Sus scrofa: one gene and its partners. The protein of the gene in region 1 binds, or shares a complex with, the protein of each later gene. Links are inferred from orthologs where the notes say so. Each region holds a gene or a part of one and is shown in the gene's direction. Other genes may lie near its edges. The genes, in order: CCDC151, EFCAB1 and TTC25.

What was found.
Region 2: CCDC151 (region 1) and EFCAB1 share a complex: the UniProt entries of both Homo sapiens proteins name them as parts of the outer dynein arm-docking complex. The link is inferred for Sus scrofa from reciprocal best matches to the Homo sapiens genes ODAD3 and CLXN.
Region 3: CCDC151 (region 1) and TTC25 share a complex: the UniProt entries of both Homo sapiens proteins name them as parts of the outer dynein arm-docking complex. The link is inferred for Sus scrofa from reciprocal best matches to the Homo sapiens genes ODAD3 and ODAD4.

The regions. Positions count from the first base shown.
Region 1 is NC_010444.4:70,090,729-70,094,079, reverse strand, and holds part of CCDC151 (coiled-coil domain-containing protein 151), read left to right. Parts: intron 1-927; coding exon 928-1,098; intron 1,099-1,187; coding exon 1,188-1,289; intron 1,290-1,387; coding exon 1,388-1,513; intron 1,514-1,723; coding exon 1,724-1,846; intron 1,847-2,369; coding exon 2,370-2,522; intron 2,523-3,351. UniProt on the Homo sapiens protein: Component of the outer dynein arm-docking complex (ODA-DC) that mediates outer dynein arms (ODA) binding onto the doublet microtubule. Involved in mediating assembly of both ODAs and their axonemal docking complex onto ciliary microtubules.
Region 2 is NC_010446.5:79,374,300-79,378,437, forward strand, and holds the start of EFCAB1 (EF-hand calcium-binding domain-containing protein 1), read left to right. Parts: upstream 1-1,194; 5' UTR 1,195-1,369; coding exon 1,370-1,640; intron 1,641-2,400; exon of another isoform or gene 2,401-4,138. UniProt on the Homo sapiens protein: Component of the outer dynein arm-docking complex (ODA-DC) that mediates outer dynein arms (ODA) binding onto the doublet microtubule. Seems to regulate the assembly of both ODAs and their axonemal docking complex onto ciliary microtubules.
Region 3 is NC_010454.4:20,774,475-20,778,121, reverse strand, and holds part of TTC25 (tetratricopeptide repeat protein 25), read left to right. Parts: intron 1-188; coding exon 189-275; intron 276-1,739; coding exon 1,740-1,936; intron 1,937-3,647. UniProt on the Homo sapiens protein: Component of the outer dynein arm-docking complex (ODA-DC) that mediates outer dynein arms (ODA) binding onto the doublet microtubule. Plays an essential role for the assembly of ODA-DC and for the docking of ODA in ciliary axoneme.

The DNA.
Region 1 (3,351 bases):
TACAGCTCTGATTCGACCCCTAGCCTGGGAACTTCCATATGCCACAGGAGCGGCCCTAGAAATGGCAAAAAGACAAAAAAAAAACAAAAACAAAAAAAAAAAAAACCAGAGAATTGCTAACAAATGGGGTGTAGGTGGGAGAGGAAAAGAGATGAAGATGACATCAAGGTTTTGGACTTGAGCACCTGAAAGATTCAAGAAGGACAGCTCTGGGGAAAGATCAAGGACATACTCAATTTTGGACATAATGGTTTTGAGCTGCTTGTGGAGCATCTGGAAGGCAGTGTAGACACAGATATATCAGCCTGCAGTTTGGGGGGAGGCTAAATTTGTGTGAGGGGGTTTCTTTTCTTTTTATGGCCACACCTGCGACATATGGAAGTTCCCAGGCTAGGGGTTGAATCAGAGCTTTAGCTGCCAGCCTGCACCACAGCCACAGCAAAGCTGGATCTGAGCCACATCTGTGACCCACACCACAGGTTGCTGCAACACCGGATCCTTAACCCACTGAGTAAGTCCAGGGATTGAACCTGCATCCTCATGGATACTAGTCAGGTTCTTAACCCGCCGAGCCACAATGGGAACTCTGGGGAGGCTAAATTTGGCTGTCTTCAGTGTATAGGTGAGTTTTGAAACCCTGAGACTGGATAGGATCTCCAAGGAGGTGGGTGTGGACAGAGGAGAGACGAGCTTGGGGCTGTCTCTTCAAAGGCAAAGGAAGTGGATAAGAGGCAGCCAAGGAGGTGGGTGGAAAAATGGGTGGTGTGTGTCCTGGAAGCCACCAAAAGAGAGAATCTGCCAGAGAAGGAGGATCAGTCAGGTCAGGTGCTACTAAGAGACAGGGAAGATAAAAACCTAGATATAGGAGAAGGAAGGGAGGAAGGACTAGGTGGGGGGCTCACCCTGCTCTTGCTCCCCTCCCTCCAGCAGGCCCTGGAGCACCTGGACCACCAGCTGAGTGAGAAGGTGAAGCAGCTGAATGCTCTTCGGCACCAGCTGGGCTTGCGGCAGAAGTGGCTGGAGGAGCTCCAGCTGCAGCACAGTCTGCGTGAGCTGGAGATGGCAGAGGCACAAGATAGGAACACGGAGGTGGCCAAGGTAGCACCTGTGAGGTCTGCAGAGAGCTTGATTCCCTGGGGGAGGGATTGAGGTGGGAGGGGACCCAGCCCAGCCTTGCTTCCCTCTAGACCATGCGGAACCTGGAGAACCGCCTGGAGAAGGCCCTGATGAAGGCCGAAGAGGCAGAACACATCACCAATGTGTACCTGCAGCTCAAGGCCTATCTACAGGTAGGGACCAGGAAAGACTGGGGTTGGGGGCGGCAAGTGGGAGGGCCATCCTGGTTAGGGATAGTGGTCATGGGCCTCCCTTGTTCCCTGCATCCCAGGAGGAGAGCCTTCACTTGGAGAACCGGCTGGACTTCATGGAAGCTGAGGTGGTGAGAACGAAACATGAGCTGGAGGAACTGAACGTGGTGAATCAGGAAGCACTCAATGCCAGGGACATAGCCAAGGTGCCAGCCTGTGGGCCCCTGGGGGTCCTGCCCCTCCGCTGCCACGGTCATCTGGCCCTAGTATCTGAACTCCAGCTGTCCCCGAACTCATCCCATCTCTCTCCCAGAATCCCATAGCCTAACCCAACTGTCTCGGGTTAGGCCTGCAGCTCCCGCCCAGAGCCATGGTAGGTGCCAGCTGGTCCTGCTGTTTCCCTGCCTGCCCTCCAGAACCAGCTGCAGGATCTAGAAGAGACAGTATTACGAGAGCGCAAGAAGCGGGACCGATACCTGACCGAGTGCAAGAAGCGCGCTGAAGAGAGAAAACTCCAGAATGAACGCATGGAGCGAAAGGTGGGCGCACCAAGGATGCAGGGCTGCAACCCTAGCCAGCCCTTACTTTGACCCGGCCCTGCGGGGTCCCGGCCGCGCCCCTACGTTGGCCCTAGACCCTTCCCCAGTTCTGACCCTTCTTCTGACTCCGCCCCCATCTCCACCAGAAGTCAGGGCTCCTCCCACATCCATGACCCCGCCCTTCAGTCCTCCAAGTACTTTCGGGTTGGTCCTCATCCATCCCTACCGCAATTGGCCAGAGTCCGAAATTTGATCCTGCCTCTAGCCTGCCCCTTATTTACAGGCCCCACCCCCTGCTCCCTTGACCCCGCCCCTCTGCCCTGCCTCGGAGTCTCCTAGCCCTGACCTAGACTGTCAGGCATCTGACCCCTGTTTTGATGCCCTTACTTGGCCCCAAGCCTGGGTCCCACCCCCTTCCTCACCCCCGACTGAATACCCCCCTTCCCGCCTACCCCCGCCGCGGCTTCTGTCAGGTGCCTTTGTCCGTAAGCTGACCTGGGCCCTGACCTCAACTCCCGAGCAGACCCAGCGCGAGGACGTGCTGCTGCACTCCGACGACACGCTCCAGGACAGCCAGCGCTCCAAGGAGGAGGAGCTGCGGCGGCGCTGGAGCATGTACCAGATGGAAGTGCTCTTCGGCAAGGTCAAGGACGCCACCGGCGTGGCAGAAACACACGTGAGTGCTGCCTGCGGCCTCTCCCAAGCCGACCTGAGCCTGGAAAGCCAACCCTTTCTGCAGGGGCAATTTCTCAGCACACAAACCTGCTCTCTTCTTAAAAAAACACCCCTTCCTGCTCCAGCTACTGCCCGGTTTCTCTGCTGCTTCTCACAGCAAAAGCCACGCGTGTGGAGTTATCTACACTGGCCATCATCCTCTCCTCCTGTTCCTGCTTACACCAGCTGACCTCTGTGGCATGTCAGCTCTAGGAGAACTGGGAGTGTTGTCTCTCTTCTCCTGGGTCCCCAGCACCTATAACAGGGTCTGGGGCACAGACGACTGCACAGTGCCAGCCTCAGTCCCAGATCAGCTAGGTCCCTGGTCTGGGGTCCCCTACTTGGAATTTTCTTCCTCAAAATTTTCTCTTTTTTCTTTCTTTTTTCTTTTTTGTTTTTGCTTTTGCTTTTGCTTTTTAGGGCTACACTCGCAGCATATGGAAATTCCCAGGCCAGGAGTTGAATCGGAGCTATAGCTGCCAATCTATACCACAGCCATAGCAACACAGGATCTGAGACATGTCTACACCACAGCTCACAGCTACACTGGATCCTTAACCCACTGAGAAAGGCCATGGATTCCTTGAAATTTTCTAAGACCATAGGTCCCTGGCTGGAAAACACTGTGATTCCCCTGGACCTCTGTTGGGTTTCTCCACTTTGGGCACCCTCGAATCTATTACTCCTCCCATGGGCTGACTCACAAGGGGTTCCAGAACTTGGACCTATGGGGTCATCTGGAGCACTGTAGTTGAGCACCTTTCCAGAAGTTGGCCTAATGGGCAGATCTC
Region 2 (4,138 bases), on another chromosome or scaffold:
AGATGCCTGTGCCACGACCAGTAGGGGGAGGGCTGGGTGAATAGTAAAAACGCAACAACCACGCGTGACAAACACAACAGGAAATGTGGGACAGACACAACTCCCTCAGCTGACACAGGGCATCTGTGAGAAATGCACAGCTGACACCACACATGATGGTGAACTACTGGGTGCATTCCCTCCAGTGCAGGAAACAAAGCAAGGGTTTCCGCTCTTACACTTCTCTTCAACATCATGCTGAACATGTAATGCAAAAGCGGGAACCCTTTCTTCATTCCCCGTGTTGGAGAGAAAGTGCCCAATATTTCACCATTAAAGGAAGATTGGAAAATAAGTAAAAATGTCTTTATTTGTAAAGAACATTATCATTGCTATAGAAAATCTTAAATAATTATAAAAAAATCTAATAGAAGTAGTATATGAGTTTAGTATGGTCCCAGCATACAAAAGCAACATGCAAATATCAATTACATTTTATGTACTATCACATATTAAATATTGCTTTTATATTAGCATCAAAAATACTTATAAGTGGGAGTTCCCGTTGTGGCGCATCAGAAACAAATCCAACTAGTATCCATGAAGATGAAGGTTCAATCCCTGACCTCGCTCAGTGGGTCGGGGATCTGGCGTTGCCGTGAGCTGTGGTACAGGTTGCAGACATGGCTTGGGTCCCACACTGCTGTGACTGTGGCACAGGTATAGCTCTGATTCAACCCCTAGCCTAGGGCCTTCCATAAGCCACACTCGCAGCCCTAAAAAACAAAACAAAACAAAACAAAAAAAACCCAAACTTATAAGTAAGTTCCCTCATGGATCAGCAGATTAAGGATCCAGTGTTGTAACTCCTGTGGCTCTGGTCCTATCCCTGGCCCAGGAACTTACACACACTGAGAGTATGGCAAAAAAAAAAAAAAAAAAAAAAAAAAAAAAAAAAAAAAAAAAAAAAAAACTTATGTAAAAATTGATGCTCAGCTATGTACACTTAAAACCTCAAAGCAATGCTGAGAAAAACTAACAAAGACCTAAAGAAATGGAGAGATATACCATGTTCATGGATCAGAAAAAATCAATACCATGAAGACATCGGTTCTCCCCAAATTGCTACATAGATATGATGCAACCCCAATCAACACCTCAGCACGACCTTTTTTGAGGACAAACTGACAAGCTTATTCTAAAACTCATATGAAATGAAATGCAAGCCAGGCAGGGGCAAATCTTTGAGAACCATGGAAACCACGCTTCCTGGCTTGGAGTTTTTCTCGCAGGCACTGAGAAGGCATTTCAACATTAAGCAGAAGGACGACATGACTGACCAGTGTTTTAGCTACATCACACTGAAATCCCATGAGCAGCTTCCCGGCGGATGCAGGAGCAGAGCATGGACTGTGTGGCAGTGAGCGTGTGCATTACCTACACCCTGAGAAGGTGGGTGAGAGGAAAGGGCAGAGCCGATGGGGTCCTGAAAAGGAGACATGGGGTCATGATGACAGTGACTTCCTTCTGGCTGTGCCTGAGCAGGAATGAGGAGATGGGCAGCCTCCTCTGGAGAGCATCTTCAGGAGGATGCAGGCTTCCAAGAAGAAAGATGGAGAGAAGCTCTGTACACAGAAGGCAAGTTCAGCAAATGTTCACAGGTAAAAGGGGCTGTTGCACAGCTGATGGGGTTGGAGAGACTGGGGCTCAGGAAAGGAGGGGGGGTGGGGAAGCAGGAATGTGTGGAGGGAGGAGGCAACTCCAAGACGATGGAATGGGGAGTGTGGGTGGAAGGGCCTGGTCCAGGCAGCCTTTGATGTCCAGGAAGAACCAGGCTGGCCTGAGGATAAACCTGTGACCACACAGAGGATCAGGATCACTGCCAGGCGGTTGTCTCTCCCTCTGGCCCCCTCAGAAAGGGGTGGGTGCCTTGTCCCTTGGGCAGTTCTATGGACAGCACAGCAGCCAGAGCCAGGCTCGGGGCCATGACCGAACAGGCAGTGGGAAGATCCTGGCAGTGTCCTTTGGCTACAGTGGTCAGCTCTGTGAAGCCAGGAGGGTCAGCTGGTCCCCAGGTGAGAGTGAGAAAAGGAGGGACTGACTAATGGAGCTAGAAACTCTCCACAGACCTGCCTGTGGGGATGGGGTGAAGGGCAGACAGAGGCCCTGGGGGGCAGGCAGGGGGGCAGCCCAGTGCTGCTGGAGGGGCTGAGGAGCATCAGGGGAGAGAAAGTGGTGAGAGACCAGGCTGGCTAAAGTCACCCCAGAATGCTCACCACTATCCCTACAGGATAGCACTGGTCCAACTCAAAGTAATTTATGCAGATAACTAAGCTTTATCTTTTCCTCTTATTAAAGTCCTTTCATAATAGATCTGTAAGTTACTTGGAAACCAACTCTATGATGTCATTTCCTACACAGCTTCCAAGGGCCTCCCTCATAAAATGTCCACACTAAGTGAAACAGTTTCTTCACCTTGAGAATCCCAGCTGTTTATCATGGTGAAAGTCCAGTGAATTGGGAGCCCAAGAGAAAACTGCTCTGCACACAGAATTTAGCATTGACAGCTCTCACAGTCACTTTCATGCACTTTGTACTCACAAAAGTAACCCCCTCGGGGCTGCGTGAACTTTGAGAAGTTCTGTGTTTCCAGCAGGGCCCAGATTAAGCAGTTTTTGATTATTCAATTGCTGACTGATTTGATCTGAGCTAACTGTTCAGGCTTAGTTGCCTCACTCAGAAAAGCCCTTGGGACAAAAACCTGCGTCTACTCTGCACAGGCCACAAAACCTACAAACAGAAATTACAACAGGCCTTGAGGTACGCTCAGCACACTCCTGCAGGCCCACGGCTCATTCTAAAGTCTGAATATACAAACCTGAAAACGTCCCAAGAATGCAGTGAACGCTCTGAAGTTTGCCGGTATGTTGACAAAACCCACCCCTAATAAATACCTGCCTCCCTGAGAAAGGTTTGCCAGACCTGCAGTGAGGCCAGAGCTCAGCCCATGCTCAGAGAAGTGACAGATGCCACCACACCTTTGTGAAGATTTGGCTAAAAGGACAATATGGAGGAAAGACATGGTTGGTGGGGGAGCCCACCAAGGCTTCTCAGTAGGCTCGGGACTTTTGCTGGTAGATTTGACTTCTACCAGCCCTTCCTCGGCTTTTCCACTTTAAGGGAATGGGGCTGGGGGAGGGGGGGTAGGCCTGAAGCTTGTGAAGGAAGAACAGAGCCAGAGCTGCTGGCCCTGGTGCACAAGGACCTCGCAGTGTTTGTCTGCCGAGGCACCTGCCCATGAGGGACTCCCACCTGTGGTGTCCCTTTGGCGCACCTGGTAGGAGAGGAGGGGCTCACAGCTTCTCTTATTGACCAGTGACCACTAATCTTCAAGTTGCTTGTGTTTAGAAGGAGCCCTACAGCGGTTCACTAAAGGTTTGCCTCGGCTCTGTCATCTGACAGGAGTCACCCAGGTTTTGGGGTGAGTGTATGAGGTTGATCCCTCCCCCATTTGTTCCCTACAATCCCATCACTATCATTTCATATCAGTTAACTGTTCTCAGGGAATTTGCTTTAGGATCATACAGGTCCTGCCTTCACCAAGCATCCTCACCTTGATTTCAAACAGCATCCCAACCCTCCATTCAACAAACAAATGGAACATGGAAAGAAAGTCAAAAACCTCAGTTGGGTGTTAACGGTTGGCAGAATTTTTCTACTTTCAGTTTAACAATGACAGTACATGTACTATAAAATAACTTGCATTATTTTATAAAAGACAAATAACAATTTGTATCTCATTTCCGAGGCTCAACAAGTGACACGTTGCAGAATATTCTAGGTTTTGTGCTCAAGACGAAGCTAACCCATGTTTTTGCGGTTCTAATTCAAAGAGGGTGGGTGTCTCATCTGTGTTCAGAACAGAAGGTCCTCTTAAAGATGTGAAGACTACCCTTTGTTTGCAGTCACAGAAACTGTCTTTCAAATAACTAAAGGATCCGTTTTACCGGGATATTTTCCAGGAAAGCAAGGTCAGGCTGTATCCCAAAGCTAGTGTCAGTTATCAGCTTGCCTTCGTTTGGGAGGGTGCCTCTTTAACCAGCTTAAAAATCGCCAGGGGTTTTCTCCAGACTCCACTGACAGCCTCCACCCCCACCTC
Region 3 (3,647 bases), on another chromosome or scaffold:
ACAAGCTGTTGCCTCTTTGCCCTCCAGAGAGGTCCCAATGATGTCCATTCCCAGCCACGGGGCACGAGAAAGCCTGAGTATGGCAGCCTTGCCAGCCTAGGCACGGTCCCTCCAGCTGGCCCCTGCCTTTGCCTTCTTCCCAGTTTCCACAGTGCCTGGAATGGGCTTGTCTTGTTTCTTTCCCACAGCGATCTTCCTGAAGCCAAGTCCAGAGCCCTGGATAACATTGGCAGGGTTTTTGCCAGAGTTGGGAAATTCCAGCAAGCCATTGACACGTGAGTGCCCAGGGACTGCCCCCTCCCCACTCTTGGGACGGGACAGCCCACCCTCACAGTGGACTCCCTGCCTGGGACAGAAGGCCAGGCAAAGAGGCATCAGAAGACCCGAATTTGGCCCCTGGCTTTGCTAGGTGACCATGGGCTGGCTGCTTTGTAAACTCCAGGGCTCATCAATTAAATTCATTAATAGAAGGTAATCAGCATTTTCTCCCAATTTCCCAATGACAAGAGTCATGTGGGGCACTCATTAGACGTACACGTTTCCTGGACCTCTTCCCTGGAAATTCTTATTCTGCAAGTCTGGGCTGGAGCTCAAGGAATCGGTTTTTAACAAGGACACCAAGTAGTCCTTACCTCTGGGCAAGTTCAGGAATGGGTGGCCTGTTGACTTCTGGAAGCTCTGCTGAGCTTTTCCCGTGACTATGCTGTCACGTGGGGTCACTGGGAATGGAGGCTGAGCTCCCCGGAAAGCTTAATCGCCCGACTTTGATGTTCATCCCTGGGGCTTGGCCACCTGCTCCAGTGGGAGACTCAGTCCCAGAAGGCTCGGGGGCGGGCCTGAGCCGGAGAACTGCCTGTGCCTAGAGAGCCAGCTCCTTGAGCTCACTGGCTTCGCACAGGGTGAAACTGTCCTCCAGACCCTCGCTGCTTGACTAAGATAGACTTGCTGGGAGTTCTTCTGTGGTGCGGCGGGATAAGGCTCTGGCATTGTCACTGCAGTGGCTTGGACCTCTGCTGAGGTGCAGGTTCAGTCCCTGGCCCAGGAATTTCCACATGCCACAGACACTCACAAAAATAAATAAATAAATAAATAAAGCAAGAGAACTTAAAAAAAAAAGATAGACTTGCTCACCAGAGCCTTCTGTTGCAGGTCACTTGTTTTCCTGAATGGTCCCTGGTGCCTTTGTGCCAAAAGGCAGTGGACTGTCCAAGTTCGCCTGCCATTCCTAGCTCTTTATAGTAAATATGCGCTTAATGGTAAAATATTAATTTGGGAGTGCCTGCTGTGGCACAGAGGGATCTGCAGCATCTCTGGAGTGCTAGGACACGGGTTCAATCCCCGGCCTGGCACAGTGGGTTAAGAATCGGGTGTTCAGAATTCCTGTTGTGGCACAGCAGAAATGAATCCAGCTAATATCCAATCCCTGGCCTTGCTCAGTGGTTTAAGGATCCAGGGTTGCCATGAGCTGTGGTATAGACTGCAGACACAGCTCAGATCCCACATTGCCGTGGCTGTGGTGTAGGCTGGCAGCTGTAGCTCTGATTGGACCCCTAGCCTGGGAACTTCCATATGCCACAGGTGCGGCCCTAAAAAGACCAAGATAAATGAATAAAATAAATACACAACGAAACGTAGTAGTCGGAGAATAGGCTTTTTTCTGACAGCATGGGAAGCTTGGCCTCCTCTGGCCAAGGGCAGAGCCTGAGTGGGAGAAGCTGAGCGCTTCTTCGTGTCTCCAGGTGGGAGGAAAAGATCCCTCTGGCCAGAACCACCCTGGAGAAGACGTGGCTGTTCCATGAGATCGGCCGCTGCTACTTGGAGCTGGACCAGGCCTGGCAGGCCCAGAATTACGGCGAGAAGTCCCAGCAGTGCGCCGAGGAAGAAGGGGACATCGAGTGGCAGCTGAATGCCAGTGTTCTGGTGGCACAGGCGCAAGGTATGGCCCCAGTGAGAACCATGCTACCTTTCCCAGCGCTCAGGCCCTGCTGTCACACCAGGGTCAGGAATGCTATGGGCTGAACTTATCATCCCAGTGTATCTGTGCCCAGATGAATGCGGATTCTGAGGGTGGGGATAAACCCCTGCGTTTTGACCGGTGTGTGGCACTCCCTACTTTAAGTTAAGCTCCCAGAGGGCTTGGGGGCCCAAGAGCTGCCCTGCCCCTTGAGGAACTCAGCTGCAGAGCAGCAGAGCACTGTCTTGTCATCAAAACAGCTCCACCCTCTTGCCTCGGTCGGTACTCTTTACAGGTGCATTCTTGCATTGATTTATTTGTTTCGGTCTTTTTAGGGGCTGCACCTGCGGCATATGGATGTTCCCAGGCCAGGGGTCTAATCGGAGCTACAGGTGCCAGCCTATGCCACAGCCACAGCAACACGGGATCCGAACCATGTCTGCAACCTACAGCAGAGTTCATGGCAATGCTAGATCCTTAACCCATAGGTCAAGGCCAGGGATCAAACCTGTGTTCTCATGGATACTAGATAGGTTCGTTACTGCTGAGCCCCAGTGGGAACTCTGCCTTCTTGCATTTAATCACTGTGCAAGCAGTGATGGAGGTATTGTCCTCATCTTATAGATAGGAAAACTGAGGCTCCAGGGGCTCGGCAGATTGCTCCAGGTCCCATGTGGGAACTTTTTAGGGTGATAGAAATATTCTAAAACTGGGTTGTGGTGATCTTTGCACAAGTCTATATATTTACAACAAATTATTAAACTGTATACTTACATATGGGTGAATTTTGTAGTATGTGAATTACATCTCAATAAAGTTGTTAAGGAGTTCCCATCATGGCGCAGTGGTTAACGAATCCTACCAGGAACCATGAGGTTGCGGGTTCGGTCCCTGGCCTTGCTCAGTGGATTAAGGATCCGGTGTTGCCGTGAGCTGTGGTGTAGGTCGCAGACGCGGCTCGGATCCCATCTTTTCTGTGGCTCTGGCGTTGGCCGGTGGCTACAGTTCTGATTAGACCCCTAGCCTGGGAACCTCCATATGCCGTGGGTGCGGCCCTAAAAAGACAAAAAAAGAAAATAAAAATAAAAGAATAAAAAAACTGGTAACTGTTTCCTGCCTTCATGTCTGGGAAGCAACTTTTAAGCAGCAGCTCCTGATGGGAGTTCCTGCTGCGGTGGAACAGGATCGTCGGCATCTCCGGAGCACTGGGACAAAGGTTTGATCCCTGGTCTGGCACAGTTGATTAAGGATCCTGCGCTGGGAGTTCCCATCATGGTTCATCGGTAACGAACTGGACTAGTATCCAGGATCCTGCTTTGCTGCACCTGCAATATAGGTCGAAGCCAGGGCTCAGATCTGATCCCTGGCCAGGGAACTCCGTAGGGCACGGGACGGCCAAAAAAGAGCAACAAAAAAATTCCCTGGTGGCTCATGGCCCAGCAGATTAAGGATCTGATGTCACTGCAGCAGCTCAGAATGCTGCTATGGCGAGGGTTCAGTCCCTGGCCCAGCAACTTATGCATGCCACAATTGCGGCCTAAAAAGAAGCTGACGGAGACGGGAACTCTGAAGGGAGGGGGCCAGTGAGGGGCCAGATCCACAGGGCCTCACGGGCCTCGTTACACACCATAGATTCTTCTTCTTTTTTTTTTTGTCTTTTTGCCATTTCTTGGGCCACTCTCGCGGCATATGC